3 linked regions of the Caenorhabditis elegans genome follow. The protein of the gene in region 3 purifies or fractionates together with the protein of the main gene of each other region. This does not show direct contact. Each region holds a gene or a part of one and is shown on either strand. Other genes may lie near its edges. The genes, in order: syf-1, ddx-23 and mog-1.

Region 1 (7,827 bases), on a different chromosome or scaffold from region 3:
TGGTCGTTTTGGGTGCGGAGTGAGATCGGCAGGCTTTTTCTGACTTGGTTGCTTGGAATTAACTATTGGGTTCGTTGGAGAAGACTTTGTGCGAACTTCAGTCTTCTTCTCCTGGATCTTGGATGCAACCGGTTTCTGAGATTCCGAATTTCTAGAAGCCGATGGTCTTGGGTGCGGAGTGATATCAACAGGCTTCTGTTCCCGAACCTTGGAAGCTACGGCGTCCGGCGCCTGGGGTGCCGGCATCCTCGGAAACTGAACGCGTTGCGAAATTGGCGCTTTCTTTGCGATCTTAGACCGTTCATCAATCTCTTCTTTTGATTGTCGATTCAGCTTCCGCTTCTTATTCGAAATAATATCCTTATCAGATTGATCTTTTCCCCGTCCAATTGGAGACTTGGAACGACGTTTCAGGTGATCTTGTACTTTTTGAGTCACAGGTTTTCTCTTCTCCAGCACCACAGCTTTCTGATCTTCCTGTTGCCGTTTCTCTTCTCTCTTCTTCTCAACAAGCTCTGGCAGCAGGCTCCCGGACTCCTTCAGAGATTTCTCTGGACAATTCGTAGCTTTTTTCACATTCATTACAGTTGGCATTCCGTCATTATTTGTCTCCAGCTGATTCAGGTAGAGCCACATTTCAAGATCTTCCAAATTGCCGAATTCCAATTCGACGCAGTTTCGAGCTCGCATTTTCTGAAATTTAATTGAATTTGATTTTTTTTGAGAATAGCTTGGATTAAAAACCTTCATAGCTCGAGGTCTCATTGGACACTGACGATCCTTGAAATGATGTGTACAATTGGGACATATCACGACGCCGCCGGATGAGGTGGCGTGCTTCAGTCTGAATTTTTTTCGAATTTTAGATTTTTTGAAAAGTGAAAAAAAAAAAACTGTCTCACTTTGTTTTCAACTCTTCATTTTCTTTTTTCAATCGTTCTATTTGACTTCTAGACCCTATTAGAAGCTGTCGGAAAAGAGCTGTTGTAGGAGGTGCGGACGAGGTGGATGGCTGATCTTCGGGAACTTTTGCAGGCTTTTTAATGGAAGACGTTGATGGTGCTGGAGCATAAAATTCGCCTAGAGCCATCGTGTAGAGATCATTAACGTCTTCCATTTTTATTTACAATTTATCTGAAAAAAATAATCCTTTGCGAAAAGCTGATTGAAGCAGTGATTTTTTATAAAAATTGTCATTTAAAATTTGAAACTGTCACAACATTTTAATTTTTTTTTGCCGTTTTTTTACAGAGAAAATCGAATTTTTGTCGAAAAGTTAGAAACAAATAGGTTAAAGTGAGAAAGCACTTGAAAAACGTTATTGAAAAAAAACATTATTGTAAATAACTATTTATTAAAAAACCATCAGATCATGACAATGTCTACCGTTTTGACGCGCGAAATTAAAATATCTTTTCGCCACATTTTCTCTCACCTGTTGCGGCATATTTTCGCGCCAGAAAGTAGGCATTAGGGGTGGGCATTCTTGATTGATTGATTTCTTGAATTTCTTGATTTCTTGACAGTTTGTCAAGAATTCTTGTTTCTTGATTTCTTGATAAATTGTGTCAAGAAATCAAGAAATTTTTAACTCGAAATTTAGGCTGAAAAGTGGGTTTTTCAATTTTCCGAGAAATTATTTTATTATTTTTGCCATTTTCAGAATATAATAACTCAAAAAACACCATAAAACACAATTTCAGTTGGAAGAGCGAGGTTTGCAGAAAGGAATTCAAAAAGATTGAAAACGTTAACGTTCTTGTCGAAAAATTATTATTTTTGCACTTTTTGTCCATTTTCAAAGTTTCTTTTGTTCATATTCTTTAAAAAATAGGTTAAGACTGATAAATTTAACTATTTCTTTCAATTTCGCTTAAAAATAATATCCGTAGAAAATTTCTTGATTTCTTGACTTTTAAAATCAAGAATTCTTGACTGATTGATTTCTTGACTTTGTAAAAGTTTGCCCACCCTTGGTAGGCATTCTCATGAACTGATGGTATCGTAATACCTTCGAAGAATGAGAAAATACTAACGTTTTTTTGAAAAATTCTTAGTGATTAATCATGATTTCAGACAATTTTTATATTTCCTAAAAAAATTAAAAACACAATTTTTAAAAAAAGTATTACACACAGTGTTAGACAACACAACAACCAAGGAAAACATCACAAAAAAATTGGAAAATTGGAAAATTTGTAACATAAAATAAATAATTTATTTTTCAAGATCCTGAACAACAAATAAAATAAAAAATAATGAAAATCAAGCTTCTTCCTCCTCTTCGGCGAGCTTCAAATTTCCAAAAATCTGAGCTGGAACAACTTTGACTGAAATATCAGCATCTCCACCATCATCTTCCTCATCATCGTCGTCTTCATCCAAATCAATTTCATCAGGATTCTCTGTAGTATTCTGTTGTACCGTTTTACCGGCTCCACGTACAAATGAAATATTTCCTTTGTTCATTGAGACCTGAGTAATTGATCCTGCTCCATCCGAAGGTTGCTGCTGTTGCTGATCCAATGAATCCATCGGATTCGACGAAGTCGTAGTCTCCTGTGCCTTTCGTTCAGCATCCACACGCATTTGTACAGATGTCAGTGTGACATTCACGTTGTATGACGCTTCGACTGATCTACGAACACGAAGCATGTCACGAACAGTTGCCTCGTTTCCATGAGCAACTTCAAAGTTTTTCCACGTATCCCAGAACTTTACATGAACTTTTGGATCGGAAATCTCGGCGGCGTGCGCGTAGATCGCTCGGGCTCGGTCAATCTCTCCGACCGTCGTCTCGAGCTGAGCATACCGCAAGCTCATTGCTCGAGACTTATCCTCTGGCAATTCGGAAATCGCTCGTTCAAAGATGGGCCGGCACTGCGCGATTCCATACATTTCCTGGACCTTTTTGATGTAGATATTGTACATCTAAAATGACAATTTTGAAGAATTTGCGGGTTTTATCGGGTTTTATCGTGATTTTTCGTTTGAAAAATTGAATTTCGCGAAATTTTGTTGTTTTGAAGTGTTTTTAACTATAATTTTTGCGTCGTTTTGTTCAATTAAATCCAATTTTTGTCAATTTTCAGCAAGAATTTACAACATTTGGTCTCAGGAAGCTATAGATATATTAAAAATAAAACATTTATATTCCAAAAATTTTTGCGTCTTTAGCAGGAATATTGGATTTTCGTATAGTTTTTTTCGAATAAAAAGCTACACTATGCGCAATTTCGACTGAAAATTTCGAATTTTGTGCCTTTTTCTTTGCAGAAAGCTATGATTTTCCTATTTCCAGGTATTTTTGAGCTCTAAAGCGCTGAAAATTCAGGATTTTTTAATTTAAAATTGAGCTTTCAACATTTTTCAATATTTTACAAAAAAAAAATTGTGCTTACCGAGTGCATATCGGCACGGTCAACTCCTGAGCAGGCTCTGTTGTATATGGAAAGAGCATGCCTGGCGAGTCCGTGCTCTTCTTCCAGTTTGGCATAGAGTAAGAAAATATCTAAAATAAATTTGGTATTGTTTGATTTATTTCAACTTTTTCAAAAGTTCTTACATTTCGCATGGGTTGGTGGGCAGTTTTCCAGACATTGCTCAAACAAATCACGTGCTCTTTCCAGCTTCTTTCCACCGTATCTTTTAATGAATTTGACCAAATATGTATTCCAAATATCAAAAACTCCGGGCCACTTGAACAGAGCAATTCCCTTCTCGTAGGCTTGGAATGCCAGCTCGAAATACTCATTCTCCTCCAAAAACATTGCGTAATTCATAATCATCTGTGGAGAAGCTACACGAAGCTCGATCATCTTATCATAAACTTTCCGACAAGACTCAACAGTTCCACAACATTCCTCATAATCCGCGTACATTGCCCATAGAATCGGACTTCTGTGAACTCTTGCTTGAACTGATTGCATATTCTCGTAATCTCCTGGCTTCGGAACAACACATGCTCGTTGCATAACTGTCAGTGCAGCTTTTGCTCTTTTATGCTTCATTTCCATTTCGGCATACGCACACCACACATTTGCAAGTTCACTGACACCTCCGAATTGTGAGATCACAGCGGTCTCGAACGTCTTACGAGCAGCATCCAAGTCACCATTATCCTCATACAACTTGGCAAGACCGATCCAGAGATCACGAACTTTTCCGACTTGAATTTTGGGATTTACAGATTTTACGGCTTCCTTGAATGTCTCAATTTGCTTGTTGTAATTTCCTTCGTAGATATTCACTCGGTTGAGCCATTCTCCAACATTATGTGGATTCTGCCGGAGAAGTACACTGTTCATTAGTTCATTCTTTCTTTCCATCAAATGTTGATATCTGGAATTTCAAGAGGGTTTTACAAATTTATAGTTAAACGATTTGAAGGTAAAGGTAAAGGTAAAGGCTTTACAAAGAGATTTTGCAAAAATTGCTCAACACATTTTTTTCAAAAAGGGCTTCTTATCGGTGCTAAATTTCGAAAAAAAGGCCAATTTTAGCTAAAATCTCCAATTTTTTCCAACTTTTCCGTGCCCGGTCATTGATTTTTTTTAAATTTTAATATACCTTAGCGTTAGATAAACTGCACAAATAAAATAAAAAATACGAATAATCTGACATTAATCAAGTAAATGTCATGTTACGACCGCTGCGACACGGAAAAGTTGGCGAAATTGGTGATTATAGCTGAACTTAGGTCATTTTTTTGAATTTTTGACATACAAACCTCTGGAACATCCACTCAAGATCAACTTCTTCTTCCGGATCACCACTTTGTTCCACTTCTTGCATCATAATCGACACTTCTCGTTCTTCAAAAGCTGCATAAGCATCATAAACTTGAGCGAAATCTCGTACAGTTGACACTTTAGCAATAGCCTCCTCATACACGTCTCGAGCCTGAAATCAAATTTGTGCTCAGAAAAAAAACACTTTTTCAAATTTACTCTTTCGAACTCTGCGCTACGAATGTAATAGTCGGCTAGTGAGCACCACAAAAATCCAACTTGATCCGTGTACCGATAGATTCCTTGACGAATAATTGCGTCGACGTTCAGCGAGAAGATCTTTACTGGATTCTTTGAGATCAAATCACACAGCTGAGTCCACAGTTGATGTGCAGTTCTTCCTTTTTCCGAAACATTCTGATCTTGATTTACTAGAGTTGTCAATTCTTTTGCTGCCTCGTCGATTTGATCTCTTTCAATAAGATACTCAACGTAATCCTCACGAGCTTTCGGATTCATCTTCAAATATCTTCTGTAGACACGAATTGTAGTTTCTGGCAGATCGTGACTTGTCAGAAAGCCGATATACAATGTCCAGATACGCATGTGCTGGGTGACTGGAAGAGAACGGAGAGCTCGATCGAAAACTCGTCTGGTCTCTGTGATGAGGCCTCTTTTGATCATCACTTCGCAGTAACAAATCCAAATACGTGGCATCTTGTGTAATCTCATGAGACATCTCTCATAAGTGTCACAGAGTGCTCTCCAGGAGTTGTCTGTTGGGCATTTGTTGACAATTGTGCTTTCTCTGTATTTCAGATAATGATACCAAAGTTTGTAGCTTCTTTCGAAAACTGCAAGTGCACGTTCGTAGATCTGAAATTAAAAAATGTTTTTTGAAGAAAATTAAATGAAAATTACCAAAAACATCTGCTTGGCAGGAGATTTGTTCTGCAATTTGTGATCGATATATCTCTGCCAACAATTTACTGACGTGGGATTTCTAATGATATCCTCTTCAAACGGAACATCTTCGGAAGACTGAAAATTGCATTATTGTTTCCTGTTCTGATTGTTTCTTCACTTACGATCCCTTTCATCGTCTCAGAGTTCGGCATTTTTTCAATTTTTGTTGCATTTTCTTTGTCGGCCATTATCTGGAAAGATAAAAATATAACAAATTAAAAGTAATCCGAGCTTTAAATATTAAAAAGAATATGAATAAAATTTAATTTTCGAAAAATGCGGGAGATTTTTGATCGTCGGTTCTGGTGTATGCAGACCGAAAGAGTACGCAATTGTGGACCGTAGTCTGGTGTGGAAATACGCGTTGGCTTTTCAGGAAAAAAGATTTTATCGAAAAAAAACGTTGTGATTTCACATGTGAATTGTTTTTGTTCAATTTTAATTATTAATCTTAATTATTGAAATTTTGTAATCATGTACTTCGAATGTGTTTTTCTACAAAACATTGATAAATTCTCGGTTTCCCTGTGCAAGTATCCGAATTTTCAGAATGTCGTCGTTTCGGCAGTTTGTCTGGGATCCAGTGCTCCTCGTCAGTCAAATGACGTGTCTTCAGACATTTTTCTACGCTACTCAAACTTCAGTAATGCTGTTCTGCAGCTTTTTCGGCTACGAACCTCTCATTTCCTCTATTTTCTCAATACAGGTTTGGATTTTCCCAGTCTATTTAATTTTAAAATTATTATTTCAGACACAACGATCAATGGCATTAATTCAATTAGTTTCCGCCGTCGGAGTCTCATTCGCACTGTCGCATTTAGTGCAACGTGCGAAACAATGCCTGGATTTTGCCTGTACAGTGCACTTTTTCCATTTAATATTTACCACTATTTACAACCATGCTCTTCCAACCCAATTTACATGGTTAGGATTTAATTATAAAACTTTTGAAATTCAAATTCCTTTTTAAGGTGGATTCTTCAAGTAATATCGACAACAGTTTGCACGGTTCTTGGAGAATATCTGTGCATGCGAATCGAATCGCAGGAAATAAAATTGGAAGGTGGTCCTTCTCGCTACGATCTTTAATATAATCAGAGAAGCATATTTAAATTATTCAGCTCATTTTGCGGGTGTTTGATTCGATTATTAAATAGACAGTTCCTGTAAATTATCAATTAATTCGGTGTAAATAAACTGATGTTTCTTCTTCTTTCTTCTCTTGTAAATTAGGAGCATGAGAAAGTCAGAAGAAAGTAAATAATAAAGATTTTATGAATAAAATAGAAAACAGGGAGTTCAATCACAGATGATGTGTAATATGCAATACAAGGGGATAGTGAGCGAAGGGGGGACAGAATACAGGAAAAATAGAAGCTAAAAACCCAAAATTGGCTCCTAAAAAAAAGAAGGGGATTGACAATAAATTATTTAGCGAGTGTGATGGAAGGCGAGAGACTAGCTTATAAAAGCAATTTTAATATTGACAAGAATATGGGAAAAATCTATATTTTGATTTTTGGCAATTATTTTCCTTTGTTCTGGGCTTCCTCGACGAGTTTATCCTTGATCGATTTCATAAAATCATGGGTTGCAGCTTGAGCCGGCGACAATTCAGTCTGGGCATCTCTCTTGATTGGTTCATAAGCAAACTTGAGCCCGGTTCCAGCATTCAAGCTTGAAGATTGTTCTGCAGATGGCTCCGACTCATTTACCAGCTCGATTCCCCATTCATTGTCCTCATGAACGACGGTTTCTTCTTCTGGAACTTCCACTTCAAGATCCACAGGTTGATTGGCAACCTTCTCTTCGTATTCTTTTTGTCTTTGCAGACAGTGAGAGTCGTCGCAGTATGGGTTCGGCTTGATGCTGTCACGAGGGAAAAAGTCTGATAATGCGTTGTATCCAACGTACTGGGAGACTTCTCCAAAGTTCAGAAGGTATTTCAGCGTGTTCATCACCAAAAATCCAGCAACTACAGCCATTGTTGTTGGAAGTGACGCAGCACACACTCCATCGCGTTTCAACGTACGCTCGTCAATTCCCGAAGCGACAACGAGTGGAGGAACACACTGAAAAAATGAACATTTGTTTTGATTTCAAGGATGAAACTTCACTTACAGCAAAACAC
Region 2 (8,346 bases), 4.1 Mb from region 3:
AAGAGCCTTAACCGAGGCAACGCCCAGAGAGTTTAGATGTTGTCAAGGCGACGGTTTAGGGGGAAAAGAAAAGGATATTCCTCAACAGCTATTGTATATTCAACAATACTTTGAGGGAGATGGTGTGTTAAGTTTTAATGAGAATATATAAAATTTGGGTAACACATTTTTTTTAGCAGTTTCGCGTTATTATTCACCTATTTCTATTTTGGAAGATATTTGAACTACAGAAAAAATAATTAAATCTAAAAATTTCCACAGAAAAAGTAAATAAAGACATACCAGTTATATAAATTCTGTGAGTATAGTCTTCGATTGGTTTTGCCATATCGTAGTTGAGTACCAGTGATACATCTTTGACGTCGATCCCTGGAAATCAAGTGAATATTATTTTTATTTTTAAAACATTCATAATTTTTAATGAATTTTTAACTGAACTTCTAACAAAAATTCCCGACATTTTTCATAATTCAAAGAATTTTTAACAGCACAAACCACGAACCTCTTTAAGCAACATCAGTAACAAAAAGAGTACGGTATCCATCTAACCTTTTAAAGCCTAGATCTTTAAAGGCGGATTCTCCCTGTTCCTGACTAGGGAACCGTCAGAAGGTGTCCATCGGACTTGCATATGAGATCTTTGTCATTCGAACGCCCAGGTCTTAAAACGGTTACCCGTGAATGTTTAGCAGTAAAACTCCAGAGCTAAGCTCGCGGCGGGCTTTCAAATATCCTAAAATATCTCCGCGGATAAATTTTTTACAGAAAAGTCATCAACTAAAAAGTTGTTGATATTGTTGGAAAGTAAAAGTTTGTAGCTGAAAGTTTTTTACCAAAAAACATTTTGTTTGAGATAAAAGCATTAGAATAGCAACAGCTTAAAAATAACAGCAACAGTTGCCGCACTTCACGCGCTTTTATCTCAAGCAAAAATGTTTTTGATAAAAAACTTTCAACTACAAACTTGTTCTTTACAACAATATCAACAACTTTTTAGTTGATGACTTTTCTGTAAAAAATTTATCCGCGGAGATATGAGCTACCAAAGTGAAATTGGAAAGTAGGCCCTTCAATGCTTCGTTAAAGTGCTATTTTCAGGATCTTTGAGAGCCCGCCGTGAGTTTGGTTCTGGAGCTTCACCGCTAAAAATTCTCGAGTAACCGTTTTAAGACATGGGCTATCGAATCTCATATGCTAGTTTGATGGGCACCTTCTGACGGTTCCCCAGTGAGTCTTTCCTCCGTGAAAAACCGTGGATTTGATCTTCAGGTTTACGAGACCTTTTGAGAGCATGTCGGCCCATTTTTTTTGACAACATTATGATTTTGTTAGGTTTTATTCCTTGGCGAAGGTTTTTTGGAAAAACGATTCGAACACGTCGACGAACTTCTTATTTTTATAATTATCTAACATGTACCCAACCTTTAAAGATTTATTTATTTATTTTCAGTTTTCCTTTTTTCACAATAACTAGTAAAACGTATTTCAAAATACTATTTTATTTTATTTTAAAAAAATTATGATCAGTGTGGAGTGAAATATTTCAGATTTTTAAACTTTCAATTTCGTTTCTTAAAATCGAAAAATTAATTATTTTGCTTCCTAACATGAGAATTCATTTAATTTGAATTTTTCCACGAGACTAGCTTTAAAACACACATTCTCCGAATAATGTGCTCTTGGAAATCCGACAGAGAGCAACTTTTCATGATCATTTTCCTATTCTGGAATTAATAATGAAATTTGAACGGAATGATGGGGTCAGGAGTATTTATTTAACAGATCTGGTAGAACAATCATATAAAAATTGAATAAATAAATATAAATGTTGAGATTTTCCAAACAAAAAAGAGAATTATCACTTCAAGAACAATGTTTCATCTTGTCGTTTCTTTGATGTAAACACTCCAGGCTTACTCTGTGCATCCGGATGATTCGCAAGTTCAGGTGGGCATGATGACACTGGCGATTCGACCAGAACCTGGAAAAAATACGAGTTAAAATATTTTTATTAAAAGTATTTATTGAGTGATACATTTTCTTTTGAAACTTTTGAAAAAAAAAACTTTCAAAAACGATTATCTTGGAATTAGACGGAAATTTTGAAAATTAAATTCAAAACATTCATTAACGACTTAATTAAAGGGCATCTCATCGAATTAACCTTATTCGAATAAATTTTTTTCGGAGTTGTTTCTTTTTTTCATTGTAATTTTAATTCGCTTGCAGTAACTACAGTAACCCAAAAGTGGATTTTTTTTTTCTAAATTGTTCAAGAACGCTTAAAATATTTTTTTTAAATATTTTATGAAACGATTAACTGATGTTTTCATTTTTAACTACTTATTTCATCGATTATCTTTCAGAAAACCGAATGCAAATCTTTTCTTTTTTGTTGATATTTGGACAAAAAATTAAATTTTTTTTGTTGGATTTTTTATCTTTAAAAAATTTTCATTTTTTCATTGTTCTTTAAAAATAAAAATTAAACTAAAGTCCTCAATTTTTCGTTTTTCTTGTTTAGTTTCTTCTTTAATTTTTCGCAAATTTCAATTTTTATTTTTCGACCTAAAATCAAAACAAAAATTTTTTGATTTTTAGGTCCAATATCATTTTTGGTGTCCGGTTTCCGTCACAATTTTTACCTGCTTCAAGTCGAAATAGACGGCAGTATCGTCAGGTGTGAGGAATGTGATTGCTTTTCCATGTTTACCAGCTCGACCTGAAATTTAAAAGAAATTATTATATGTGATCAAGAAGAAAAGTGTGGAAGTTTTCAGATGCTAGTAGCTTCAAAATTTATGAAAACTTCTACGCATTTTTTTTCATTTTTTAAAATTTTCTTTAAATAATTTCTTACTGCTCCGCTGTTCTTTATCTTTTTTCCGTTGTAATAAATCATACTATGTGGAGATAAATTTTAAAAAAATGATGTCCTCAAGAATCTCATATTTTCCCAAAACAGAAAATTACACTTCATCAAAAAATTTCCACAGAAAAAGTGAATAAAAACATACCAGTTCTACCAATTCTGTGAGTATAGTCTTCAATTGATTTTGCCATATCGTAGTTGAGTACCAGTGATACATCTTTGACGTCGATACCTGAAAATTAAGTGGATATTATTTTGATTTTCAAAACTTTGAATTTATAATTTTTTAGTTACATTTCGAATCAAACCTCTTCAATTAGTTTTTTTTTTAAATAGGGGAATCTCAAATTTTTGGGTTTTCATTCAGAAGAGTTTGAAACTTTCAAGAAACGTTATATACCGTATATTCTCTATTAGAGCGGCATGCCGCACTAATTTCCGGGCCCTTCGCGACGTGCGCTCTATTAGAGACTGCCGTTCTACTGGATACTGCCGCACTAATTTTCGATAACTAATTTTCATATTGAAGTTACTACTGTTGGGAGTAGTAACCTCAAAATTTCCTTATAAAACCTCATATTTTATGGAAAAATTCGTGAAAATTGTGTAATTTTGCCTCACAAAGACACTAAAATTCAATATTTAAATGAAAATTTATGAATTCATTCAAGAATGAACAAAAATATCTTCGAAGAAATCGAATAATTGAGGTGGCTCTCGCACCCAAAAAAAGGGGTGCCACACTAATAGAGACTGCCGCTCTAATTTTCGAAGAGCCAGTTAGGGTGCCGCTCTAATAGATACGCCGTACTATTAGATACGCCGCTCTAATAGAGAATATACGGTATATATATACTTGAAAAAAGTATTTGAATCAACAATTTTTTTCCAAAAAAAAAAACGAACCTCTTCCAGCAACATCAGTAGCCACAAGAATATCACTCGTTCCTTCTTTAAGAGCCTGCAGAGCGTATTCTCTTTGATCTTGACCTTTTCCTCCGTGAAGAACTGTTGGCTTGAAACCAAGTTTGGTAAGACCTTTTGAGAGCATATCAGCACCTTTCTTCTGATTGACAAAAATAATAATCGGTGGTTGGAATTGTGATTCGAGCACTTCGACGAGCTTCTTACGTTTACGATCCTCTGGAACCATGTAGACTACCTGAATACGAAATATTTTGGAATTTTTAAAAAACTTGAAATTTTTTTGAAATTTCTTACTAAAAAATACTAGCCTCTGAAAAAAGACACTGAAAACAGAATTCCCCCTTTCTGCGTGGTTTCAATCCAGAGATGGGACTTTTTTTTGGCATTTTTTGGTAATTTGACGAAAAATTAATTTTTTGATTTTATTTTTTAGAAAACCAACAAAAAACCAAACAATTTTTCACTTTTTTCAGTTAAAAAACAATTTTTTGGGTGTTCTTAATTAGTTTTTAGCAAATTTTAGTTAACAACTTTTATGAAGCTACTTTAGGAAGCTGCCTTAGTTCTAGTAATTTTTCTAGTTCAGCTTAATGTCGAAATATGAAAAACGATTCTCATAATTATTTTTCTTTTCTACCAAGAATAAAATAAATTACCTGTTCAACTCTTTCTGTAGGCTTTCCAGCAGATCCAATATGTACAACTGCTGGTCTTCTGAGATATTGTCTGGCAAGTCTTTCGATAGCTGAAGACATTGTAGCTGTGAACATGACAGTTTGTCGATATTTCTCTCTTGTTGAGAATCCCTTCATCAAAGCTTCTTCATTATCGAATTCATCCGTATCTTTCTTCATATTTGTATCTGGCATGTACTCCAGAACCTTCTGAACATCTGGTTCAAATCCCATGTCAAGCATTCGATCAGCTTCGTCAAGGATCACATAGGTACACTGATTCAGGAGAAGATATCGATTTTCCAGAACATCGAGAAGACGACCTGGTGTTGCAATGACCACTTCAACACCCATTCGAAGCTTCATTCCTTGATCTTCTCTGCTGGCTCCTCCGATTACTGAAACGGTCTTGATACCGAGAAGCTTTCCGAACTTGTTGGTTTCCTCTTCAATCTGCTGAGCCAATTCTCTTGTTGGAGCCATAATAATAGCATATGGACCCAAGTCCCGATGTTCTTGTCGTTCCATTTTTGGAAGGCTTGTGATCCATACAAGCAGCGGTAGAAGGAAAGCTGCAGTTTTTCCTGATCCAGTTTCAGCTACACCGATTACGTCACGATTCTGAAGACCAATTGGGATGGCTTGTCTCTGAATAGGTGTAGGTTCCAGATAACCAATTTCTTTGACAGCTTGGTAGACTTCATCTGGAAATCCAGCTTCTTCCCAATTACGAAGAGGTCGTGGAACTCTGCCTCCTTTAATAGAAATATTGAAATCTTCACGGAAGATACGCCAATCTCTGTCAGACATCTCAGAAAGTTCTTTCATTCTCCAATGACGATCATCATGAGCCACTTTCTTTTCTTTTTTCAGTTCTTTTTCAAGGCGATGCATCTCTTGCTCTTTCTCATCAACAGTTCTTCGATTTTCCATCATTTCCTGGTAGAACGAGTTCTTCTCTTTTTTCTGAGCATTCACATCCGTTCCAGCAACAGATCCTCTTCCAAAGAACTGAATTTCATGTCGACTTTGATATAATTTGTTATAATCCTGTGATGTATCCTCTCCAGCATCCCAATCAAAAACAAACTTTTTCTCATGAAGTCTCCGTCCTCTTTTCTTCTTTTCCTTCTGTTTTCCAAGATATCTGTCTTTAACAGCATCTGCCATTTTACTAACATCTTCTTCATTATCACTATCCTCGTTTCTATCTCTTTTCCGATCATCATTTCGATCCCTTCTATCTCTACTTCTACTTCTATCTCGACGCCTTCCACCATCACGATCACGGCTCCTGCTCCTTCGTCGTCTATCTCGAGAACCACTTCTCTCCCGACGATCCCGTCGACGATCACGATCACGTTCCCGTTCACGGTCTCTGTCACGATCATTGCCTCGGTCAAGTCCACGATCTCTTCTATCGTCTGATGTTTTTTCGGTGCGTCCCCAATTTTTTCGAGCTTCTTCAGCTTGTTTTTGTGTTTCACGCAGTTTTGCGACCTCCTCTTCTCTTCGTTTCAGAGCCAATGCGGCCCGCTCGGCTTTTGACAGAAATTTTGGCTGAAAATTTGAAAATGGTTTGGTTTTTAAAAAATATGCGATGTTTTTTGAGATATTAAAAAATAATACATACCTTTGCCAATTCATCTTCTTCTCTTTTCTTCTTTTCCAGAAGTTCCTCAAGTGATGGAGGTTCAGCAGCCATTTCTCTGGAATTTAAGAACTTAAATGTTTGGAAAACTAATTAAAAATATGCTTTTACAATGGGAAAATGTAAAAAAACCAATTTTTAACATAAACCTACAGAAATGCATTCACCCTTTTCGTATATAATACACGCGACCGAGGTGGTATTTGTTAGGCCGCGCTCTCTTAGCGGGACATTCGAAAATGTCAATTCTCCGAATATCATATTAATTTTCTATAGAAATAAAGCTTCGCGCACATACACAACCGGAAACCAATCATAATAATATTAAAAGCAAGAAGCCTTTATTGCGCAAAATCAAAAAGGAACGTGCATGAAAAAATCAACAAATTCTCAAATGAAAAGCAATAAATTTTGATGAAAATTTAAGAAATTGGGGGATAATAAAGAAAAAGAAAACAGATCGATCTTTGTTGATTATCGCTCGAAGAAAGCTATAAAAACAAACGGTAAAGTTGGGCTTGTTGAACGGGATGGGGAATATTATCAAACACGGCAACAGATCATAGAAACGGACACACTGGGGGGAATAGAAAAACAATTTTAATATTTATTCTGGTTGTGGCTGCTTCAAGTTGGTCATACCAGCGCGCATCACTTCATCAACAAGCAAGAGATTGCATGCAAGTACTGTCGCCGACGAGATACTGTTCTTCTTCACCGTCACATTGTCCCAAATTCCTTGTGGCTCGACAGCTCCTCCGGTTTCGAGATCGAGTCCAACGGCGATATCTGGTCCAGCGGCGGTTTTCTCCTCAATAAGCTTAACAAGTGTTTCCTGAGCATCATATCCTCCATTTACGGCCAGTGTCTTTGGAATAACGAGAAGAGCTTGAGCAAACGCTTCAGCTCCGAGCTTGGCACGTCCCTTCAGGTTCTCAACATCTTTTTTCAACATCACGTAGGCAGCAATTTCGAAAGCAGCAGCTCCAGGGAGAACAGCCTCTGAAAATAGGTTACTAGAACAGAAGTTAATAAAATTTAAACTCACTGTCAACGATGGTGTTGAAAACAGCACGAAGTCCATCATGAATAGCATCCTTGATTTGAGTGATGGTATGCTTGTTTGGTCCCTTGATAAGAAGAGTCACAGATTTTGGAGCACGGCATTCCTCGATAAACGTGTATTTCTCTTCTCCAAGGGAATGCTCGTAAACGAGTCCAGCCCATCCAAGATCCTCTGGAGTCAAATCATCAACTGAGTTGACGGCTTCTCCTCCGACGGCCAGCTGAAGACGTTCCATGTTACGTCTCTTGGCACGACGAAGAGCAAGAATTCCTTCGGAAGCAAGCAAGTCAAGAGATGGAGGATCGATTCCTTTCTGGTTGATAACAACGAATCCCTTATTCTTACCATCTGGAGAATTATCAATAACCTTCTTCTTCAACTCAATAATCTTGTGAACACGACGAGTAATGAATTCACGTTCGGCAGCGAGAAGTGCCTCACGTTCCTTGGCGGTCTTGTAGAAAAGTCCCGAGTTGACTTCAGTCTTCTCGTATTCCAAAGAAACGTTGCAAGTGAGAATGTAAGCGTCTTTAACGTGTCTTGGCATATCTGGGTGACGAGCTCCATGATCGAGAACTAATCCACGAACAAGTGTGGTATCCATATCACTGTCGTGGTGCATTTCCATCTTTTCAACCATATGAAGATCTGGTTCCTCTCCATCACGACGGATTGCCAAAACGGCGTCGACAACGCATCTGAAATTAAGAAGATAATGTTTTTTACTACTTTTTAATTGTTTGTTTCTTACTCGGTGATGTGATCAGCAAGTTTCTGATGAAGTTTGGTACGAAGAGCAGTGCGGCACACCTCTACAAGGAGGTCACGCTCAACGGGAGCCTCTTTCTTGAACTTTTCAAGCAACTCGAGGGTTTTTGTGTTAGCCCACTCGAAGCCTTCAGTAACAATACGTGGATGAAGACCCTAAAATTTTAAATAAATGTTTAAAGTTAAACTTTGGAAATTGATCACCTCGAGAACTAGAGATTCGGCTTGTTTCAAGAGCTCTCCGATAAGGAGAACGGTGGATGTGGTTCCATCTCCAGTCACGTCGTCTTGTGCCGTCGAAGCCTTGGCAATCATTGAGGCTGTTGGATGTTGAATCGCCTGAAATTAAATAGTGCTAAACGCTGAATCTGAACAAAACGATCAAACC
Region 3 (8,254 bases):
TAGATACAGATAAAGATTTTAAATAATAGTAGATATTACATACTTATAAATTTCTAATTTAGTTTCTAAAATACTTTTGCAATTTGGCAGTGTTCCAAAAGCTTTTCCATATGCTGAGAGATGAGGCATTCGTTGAGAAAGACCACCCGAATGTAATAGTAGAACCTTAAATTTATGCGAATTCCTAAAAAATATATAACTGCATACCTTAGATTTTTCCAATTTTTCATATGTCTCAGTTTCTAATAACTTTCGAATAATATTAAACGTAGCTCCACCTGAACCAATTCGAATTCCCGGGGATTCATCCGTTACAACTTCTATAGATTCAGAATAATTTTGAGTTGGAATCCTAGATAGTTGTTCATAAAATACTCGATTTTGAGAATCAGATCCTGCAGTGAGAATGAATTTTTGCCATAACATTTTAGAGGCAGCGAAGAGAGAAGAAATGACCAGAAAATCGATTGTGTTGTGTCCACGTTATTATCGGAGCTGGCATCGTGTGGTGTAATAGGAAAAGAGAATTAGACGGCAAAGGTTTGAAAAGACGGAATGAATCTAAAAAATGTGTTCATTATTACTAGTTTTTACATATTAAGAATAGACACATAGTTTTAGAATAATACAATTGAAGGTACACCAGGAATTTACAATTTTAAATACATAGTATTACACAGAATCGAAAACGTGCGATTTTAGCTCCACAAAATATTTACCAGGTCTCGAAACGAATTAAATTCAGAAAAGCGTGCGCTTTTAAGGAGGTTACTGTAGTTCACAACTCTTTTTTATAGCAGAATTTGCATTTTATTCAAACTTTGATATATTTCAAAAAGTTCTCACATGTTATTAATACATTTTAAAGATACTATAGTACCCCTTAAAGGCGCGCATGAGAAAACCAGTCGATTCGAGACCGGACACCGTATTTTCGGAGCTAAAATTACAAGTTTTCGAATTTAAGTAAACTGAACGGGTAATGTACAAATACTACAATGCTTTTTTAAGCTATGGAACTCTTTTTCTTGTTCAAAAGACCAAGAGAACATAAAATCTCAAACAAAAATTAATACACATTTCCTGCTCGAGTGGAGAGCAAGAACAGCCGGCTTATCGTAACCAAGAGGAACAACAACTGGCTTGAGACTCCATTCAGCAGATTGTGATCCAAAAAGTGGAGATCTCATAAAGTTTTGAAGTTGATTCGCATCGAATTCAGTATTGTCCATGTGCACATCAAGTTTGTCGGATAGACGAAATGCGGTCGATTCGATGAATGGAAGAGCCGATAGAGTGGTAACTCGTGGGCAGTCGGAGATCCTGAAGTACGCAAGATTCGGGCATGAACGGGAAACGCGTTGGGAGAAGTGATCTGTGATCTGAAAATTCAATTGTTATTGAGATTCCTTTAAATGTATCATATTCACCTGTGAAGTCCCTTTCAAATCAATTTGAGTAAGAGTCTGGAAAGATGCCTGAAAGCATCTGAGCAACTTTGCTTCAGTGTCACCTCCCAAATTGCATCCTTCAATCTCAACTTTCTCAAGCTTATCATAACCAGCAAGTAAAGCGAGAGTCCATGTATTTATTCGTTCCAAATCAATTTCAGATAGTGCCAGTTGCTTTAGTGGAGCATTTTTTGTCAATTGGAGCAGTTGAGCTAGCTGTTCATCAGAAATCTCGTCGCCGACTAATTCATTTTCCAATTGAAGGGAATGAATTTCTGAAAATCAAATTGGCAATTATACTCGAGAATTGAATGATTTTTTTTTAATGTTTCAATTTGTATCCAAACAGTTAGATAAAAGTAAAATAGACGAATAAGAAAATAAATACCGTTAACTATTTGTGGCATTAGAAAATGTAAAAGTTCTTGAATTTCTTCTCGATTTACTTTTGGAATATGAAGCTCAAATTCGTCTCCATCACATTTTCCATTCAATTTCTCACTTGTGATTCCAATCTTTATAGCACGGATTTTTGGAATCATATCTACGATAACTCTCATCACATCGATATTACTTAAAGCTGAATTAACAAGATCCGTAGGTTTTAACCCTTTATGGATTTCTCGGATGATTTCCAATGGCATATCACCGAGAATCATTCTGAAAATTTTGTTCTGAGTTTTTTTTGTTGTTGAAAAACATACAGTAAAAAAGGAAATGTACCGAAAGTGGGAAAAATTGAAAAAGGTAAAAATAAATATAAGGTTTATGGAATAAACTTCTGAAAATAAAATTGCAACAGAGTATATAGAAAATCGAACTGGAGTATTAACAGTGACACCCGATTACACGAGAAAATAAGACAGAGAAAGAGAGTAATTGATCAAAGACCCCACAGCTTTCTTCTCTCCGATCTGGCCGATTTCGATCCGACTTCAACAACACGCCTGGAAGATTCTGGTCGTTTGAACGCCTTGTCACTTTCTTCCTTCCGCCGTTCCATTTCTTTCTGCGCCTCTCGCATCTCTGCTTCCATCGTTTCAACCGTTCGGACACTCTCCATTTTCAGTTCTTTGCGTGATTGTTTCGATTCTTTGATCGAATAGAACATGGGTCCAAGTTCAGCAAGCCAGATTGCATCGACAGCAGTTACACATTGCATATATTCTTTGGCTGTCATAATCAATTCGTGGTACACCTTAATTTAGAATATTAATTTAAAGTTTAAAGGAATGTGTTTTTGGCGAATAATTTATTTTCCGCTTCTTTTTTTCGAAAAAGAGGATATACTGAAACATTCATAAATTTTTAAGTGTTACTTTTTTTCCAAAAATCATATTCAAAATTTAAAATAGAGTGCAATTTGGCCGAAATATTTGAAATACCGATTCAGCATTTTTTTTTCTTCAGATTCAGCCCTGCTTACCACGTAATCAGGCATGAAACCCATTCCAAAAAGAGCTGAAGTTGGATGAAGGAAGCATGGAATTCCGGTACGAACATTGACATATTCACCAATTCCTTTAAGACGAGCTGCATTGTGGAAATACGCAGAGCAAATGCATTTTCTCACAATATCCCATTCACTTCCGTTTGAGCTGAAATAATTTTATAAAATTGTAGTTCTAAGAAACTTTCAAATAAAAAAAACCTACATCAATGGAAGCTTGAGATCTTGCATAATTTCCTTCAATTGAGCACGAACTTCTCGAACCTTTTTCAAAGCTTTTACGTGTAAATAGTTGTCGGCACACCATTTTGCAGAATATTTGTGTGTTCTCCATTGAATATAGACGTTTAAGAAAGTGAGATGATCCGATTCGGGAACTTGGAACTTTTCTTTCTTGGCATCAGCTTCTTCTTCTCGTCCTTTTGGTCTGAAGAAAATTGCGGGCACTGACAACATCGAAACAATCGTCAGAACTTCATCACTGCATCCCATTTCAGCCGACATAATGAGCATTTTCGACAGAGTTGGATCTAGTGGGAATTCAACCATTTTTCGTCCCATTGGCGTGAGCTGTCCAGTGTTATCGAGAGCTCCAAGAGTCCAAAGTTGATACATTGAATTCAGCATATTGTCCTGTGGAGGTGCATCCATGAAGTGAAATTTCAAAAGATCATCCACTCCGAGAGACTTTAAAAGAAGCACTACATTGGCGAGATTGGTTCTTTGAATTTCAGGTACAGTACTCTTCTGAAAAATAAATTTGTTTTTATTTGAAACAGGGCTGAGCATATATATATATTTTTTAATATATATTTTTAAAAAATAAAATTAAAAATTTGTCGTTTTCGATATTTTTCCCATGAAATTTTTAGCATTCGTCGCTCACTCCAGATTTGTGAGATTCACCTCAAACTTACCAAAAGCTCATCTTTAAATTGTCTTTCAGTATACAAACGATAACACTGTCCTGGTCCAGTACGTCCGGCACGACCAGTTCGTTGATTCGCTGATGCTTGTGACACTGGGAAGATCGATAGAGCATCCATACCGATTCTTGGATTGTACACCTTCATCTTACAGAAACCCGGATCAATTACAAATAGAATTCCGTCGACAGTGAGCGATGTCTCTGCAATATTTGTAGCCACAATTGCTTTCCGCATTCCACCGGGTGCTCTTTGGAAAATCTTGGCTTGTAAGTCACTTGGAAGCTGGGAATAGATTGGTAGAACAGCAAGTGGAGGAGCTTCATCAAGTTCACCAAGCTTCTCTTTGATCATTTCACAAGTGCACTCAATATCTTCTTGTCCTGGCATGAAAATCAAAATATCTCCGTCCATACCACCCAGATGAATTGTAACAGCTTGTTTAACAGCAGCATCCACATAATCTTCAACAGGAGTTCTCGCATGAAACAGTTCGACTGGGAATGTTCTTCCAGGAATTGTAAAAGTGGGACAGTTTCCTCCGAAAAAGTCTGCAAACTTATCAGCATCCATAGTAGCAGAAGTAACGATTAGCTTCAGATCAGCTCGTTTTGCAATCACTTCTCTGAGCAAACCAAAGAGTACATCTGTATTGAGTGAACGTTCGTGAGCTTCGTCCATAATAATTGCTGAATATTGATCAAGACTTCCATCACCAAGACATTCACGAAGCAGAATACCATCTGTCATGTACTTGATTATTGTTTTTTCTGATGTACAATCTTCGAATCGAATCGCGTAACCAACGTCTTGTCCTAGCTGTAAAAATTAAAATAAAATTGTTTTCTTAAAACAGTGGTGAAATACATAATTATCTCAAAAATGAAACTAACATCCACTCCCATTTCATCAGCTACACGTCTAGCAACACTCATTGCAGCGACACGTCTCGGCTGAGTACATCCGATGAGTCCCGAATCACCAAATCCATCTTCAAGTAGGTATTGTGCCAACTGAGTTGTTTTTCCTGATCCTGTTTCTCCGACGATGATAACCACATTATTCTCACGAATCACATTCATCATCTTCTGCCGACACGCAAATACAGGCAAATACTCTCTTTGCTGCTTGATAGACTTTTCCATCGCAAAATCCGAAACTGCTTCATTATCTTTCATGTGAGATGCAAATTGATGAGATTCTTTGTAATTTCCAGAATCATCGTCTTCTGGATCAGCAGTTTCATCTTTTTTCTCTTTAACACCCATCAAATTTCCGAGTTTTGATCCTGCCAACTCCCAATGCTTATCTTGAGCCTTCTTCCTATCTTCAACTTCTCTCCGTTTTCGTACTGCAACACTTCCTCTTGCTGCTGAAACAGCCATATCACATGTTGTATCAACAACCGGAATGATTGGTTGTGCTTGTTTAGTGAAAACAATTCGACCATCAAGGAATGGAGGAACAATGTTTTGAACGAGAATTGTGACACGATTCTCATCAGTTTCATCTTCAAAAATACTTGATAATTCATCAGCCATCGCGACGACTCCTGATCTATGCAGTCGATTGTTCTCCCATAACTCATTCTCTCTTTTGATCGCCTGCTGCTTCACTGTAAGTCTCGGCTTCTGAGTTTTCTCCTGCCATTGCTTTTCTCGTTTTTCCACAAATTCGTCAGAAACCTTATTGAATGGATTATACTCATCATCAAATGCTCCTTCATTATCATACCATTCTCTGTCCAAATTCTTCTGTTCCTCTTCCCATTGAGCTCTCTCTTCGTCATCATGAAATGTGGGCTCTGCTTTTTCTTCTTTAACACTTCGTACCGAATCTTCTGGTTTTCGATGTCTCCGTCTCTTCTCATCATCTCTATTCCTTCTTTCACTTCTCCATGCACTTGAAATGCTTCGTTCCGAATCCATATATCGTTTTCTGTCTCTTTCACCCCGCGGAGTCGGCATATCCCAACTATTTCGTTTTCTGGAAGATCCTTCACGATCATCTTGATCCCAGCTCATTCTGGATGGTGTATCGGGAACTTTAAAGCGAGGAGTCTGATCTCCACTTCGATCTTTCCAACCTCTTCTACTACTCGGCTCTCTTCGTTCTGATCTGTCACGGTCTCGTCTGCGATCATCATCCCGACTTTTGTATTTCATTCCACGGTCGTCACGATCTCGATGCTTCTCATGAACTCTGAAATCATCAATTTACTTCGCTAATTTAATGTTTGAATCACTTTTCAATTCCTTTTCGAACCGATTCCGTGACACCTCGATCGTCATCATCCTCAAGACGTTTTCTGGCGTGTTCCCGCTTTGTAGACGCCAATCTATCGAGCCCAAGCAAGCTTCTGCAATTTAAATTGTTTTTATTTGAAGAAAATTAAAGTATATATTTAGTTACTCACTTCCCGGATGGTTCGGTTGGTTTTGAATCTCCCTCTACTTTTTTCTTTTTAATAACCAATCCACCAAATGTGTCACTGGTTCCTTCGAGGCGGCCATCTGCCCGTTTATCCGACATTTACTAAAAAATAAAGAATTTAAGAAAAACTAATTTAATTTCGAAAAGGAAATCGAAAATAAATAAAAAATAAATAAAAAATGAGAGAGCGAGAGAGAACGCATTATGAAAAGAGACTCAGACTTTTGTGTCTCGATAGAGCGCTCTTTCATAAAAACATTTTTCGCGAATTTTTTGTTTTTTCTTCAATTTTCTCAACACTCTTTCTCTCTTGTTGCATCTTTTTCTTTTCTTTTCTCTCATTAAAGGTTTCCCGGAGGTCTCTTCAAACAAAAAATAGCCTATAAATCAGTAGAAAATCACAATCTACTTCAATGCCACCAGTTTTCACTATTGAATCCGAATTTTTGATGTTCTTCAAATTTCCCTCTGTATCATCAACCACCGATACCCACTTAAACGGTTCAATTTCTATAGATTTGTTTGTTAACTCAAGCGCTTGAGAACCCCGGAAGCAACAGATCGGAGAGCTGAAGTGTTGAAAGTTGTTTCGAGAGAGTGGATTGCTTAGGCCCTAGCTTAAAATAAACTCAATATATTTAGAATTCAAATTGTTATTTCATATCAAATCATACGTTTACTAATTTTGAAATCTATTGATTTTCTTTTTTTCTCACCTCAATTCTATTTGCAACCCGAATTGCGAAATCGAGAGGGGCGGTCACCATGCCGGCAGCATCGATGACTCATCACTCGTATCACGAACGTTATTTGCATTCTAATGTCTGAAATGACGTTTTTCCCTTCTTGTTGAATGATTAGGAGTGTGAATCGATGTGATGAACTTACTTTCTATTACATTTTTCTTGTCCTTCATTAACGAGAAGCTTCGTATTTTCCTATTGCTCACCTCAAATTAAGGATGGAGTGAATTGGCTGGGGATTTTGCGTTAAATTATAGAAAATTGACCCTGCTAACTGAATATAACTGTAAAAATTAAACTTTTACTAAAACTAAACTTTATTTTTGAATTCTCGTAACATCTTCGTGTTTTTTTTGCTAAATTCATTGGTTTTCTTGATTAATGTTTCACATTTTAATTGAAACACAGTTTGTCAAAATTTCAGAAAAATTCTTTAAAGAGAATCTTTCTATTTTATTTTTTTTATTTCTCACTTCAAATTAGTATTAATTTTCTTTCAGAATGGCTACATTCGGCTTTCTCAGCGCACCGCTGAAATCGACTAATGAAGTGGATCTTGTGAAGCCACTTACAAGCTATATCGACAATGTCTACAATACATCCGATAATAACCGCTCAGATGTCGCCGAAGCTGTTCAGGAACTTAATAAACTCCGTTCAAAAGCTTGCTGTCAGCCTCTCGACAAGCATCAAAGTGCTCTCGATGTTTTGACTAGGTAATAAATTTAAAAAAAAAGAATATCTTTGAAATAATTGTTTTTTACAGATATTATGATCAACTCGTTGCCATTGAAAACAAAATTATAATCTCTGCAACTCAAAATCCAGTTGTTTTCAAATGGAAGGATGCATTCGACAAAGGAAGCCTCTTCTCAAGCAGAGCATCCTTATCCCTGTCTGACGGATCCTTTGAACGTGCTGCCGTTCTGTTCAATATCGGATCGTTGATGTCTCAAATCGGAGCTGCTCAACAATTCCATACCGATGATGAAATTAAAGTATCTGCAAAACTATTCCAACAATCTGCTGGAGTATTCGCCCGTCTTCGTGATGTTGTTCTCGGAATGGTTCAACAGGAACCAACTCCTGATCTCATGCCAGATACACTTGCTGCTCTTTCTGCATTAATGACTGCTCAGGCACAAGAGGCGATCTATATTAAAGGCCACAAGGATAAGATGAAGGCTACATCAATGGTCAAAATATCTGCTCAAGTTGCCGAATTTTACTCGGAAGCACAAAAAATGATGT

Evidence for each region.
Region 1: the proteins of mog-1 (region 3) and syf-1 fractionate together in Caenorhabditis elegans (co-fractionation; one large-scale study listed by BioGRID). This does not show direct contact.
Region 2: the proteins of mog-1 (region 3) and ddx-23 fractionate together in Caenorhabditis elegans (co-fractionation; one large-scale study listed by BioGRID). This does not show direct contact.

What each region holds. Positions count from the first base shown.
Region 1 is NC_003279.8:3,875,123-3,882,949, reverse strand, and holds syf-1 (Pre-mRNA-splicing factor SYF1), read right to left. Parts: upstream 5,888-7,827; 5' UTR 5,885-5,887; coding exon 5,819-5,884; intron 5,772-5,818; coding exon 5,652-5,771; intron 5,607-5,651; coding exon 4,950-5,606; intron 4,903-4,949; coding exon 4,730-4,902; intron 4,342-4,729; coding exon 3,566-4,341; intron 3,512-3,565; coding exon 3,402-3,511; intron 2,932-3,401; coding exon 2,266-2,931; 3' UTR 2,207-2,265; downstream 1-2,206. Other genes in the region: C50F2.2 (CCHC-type domain-containing protein), read right to left, coding at 1-693, 745-844, 903-1,117; T03F1.12 (Protein SYS1 homolog), read left to right, coding at 6,247-6,402, 6,448-6,620, 6,668-6,785; uba-5 (Ubiquitin-like modifier-activating enzyme 5), read right to left, coding at 7,223-7,768, 7,818-7,827.
Region 2 is NC_003281.10:5,847,086-5,855,431, forward strand, and holds ddx-23 (putative ATP-dependent RNA helicase DDX23), read right to left. Parts: upstream 6,185-8,346; 5' UTR 6,179-6,184; coding exon 6,107-6,178; intron 6,034-6,106; coding exon 4,456-6,033; intron 4,035-4,455; coding exon 3,779-4,034; intron 3,105-3,778; coding exon 3,018-3,104; intron 2,723-3,017; coding exon 2,646-2,722; intron 1,982-2,645; coding exon 1,859-1,981; 3' UTR 1,753-1,858; downstream 1-1,752. Other genes in the region: cct-6 (T-complex protein 1 subunit zeta), read right to left, coding at 6,732-7,126, 7,173-7,888, 7,942-8,114, 8,163-8,297, 8,346-8,346.
Region 3 is NC_003281.10:9,949,854-9,958,107, forward strand, and holds mog-1 (putative pre-mRNA-splicing factor ATP-dependent RNA helicase mog-1), read right to left. Parts: upstream 6,363-8,254; 5' UTR 6,360-6,362; coding exon 6,244-6,359; intron 6,187-6,243; coding exon 6,073-6,186; intron 6,030-6,072; coding exon 4,721-6,029; intron 4,647-4,720; coding exon 3,819-4,646; intron 3,649-3,818; coding exon 3,107-3,648; intron 3,050-3,106; coding exon 2,878-3,049; intron 2,650-2,877; coding exon 2,335-2,649; 3' UTR 2,207-2,334; downstream 1-2,206. Other genes in the region: K03H1.13 (GDP-fucose pyrophosphorylase domain-containing protein), read right to left, coding at 44-165, 208-426; K03H1.11 (F-box domain-containing protein), read right to left, coding at 1,059-1,382, 1,431-1,726, 1,840-2,110; alx-1 (Apoptosis-linked gene 2-interacting protein X 1), read left to right, coding at 7,505-7,719, 7,770-8,254. UniProt on the Caenorhabditis elegans protein: Probable ATP-binding RNA helicase involved in pre-mRNA splicing.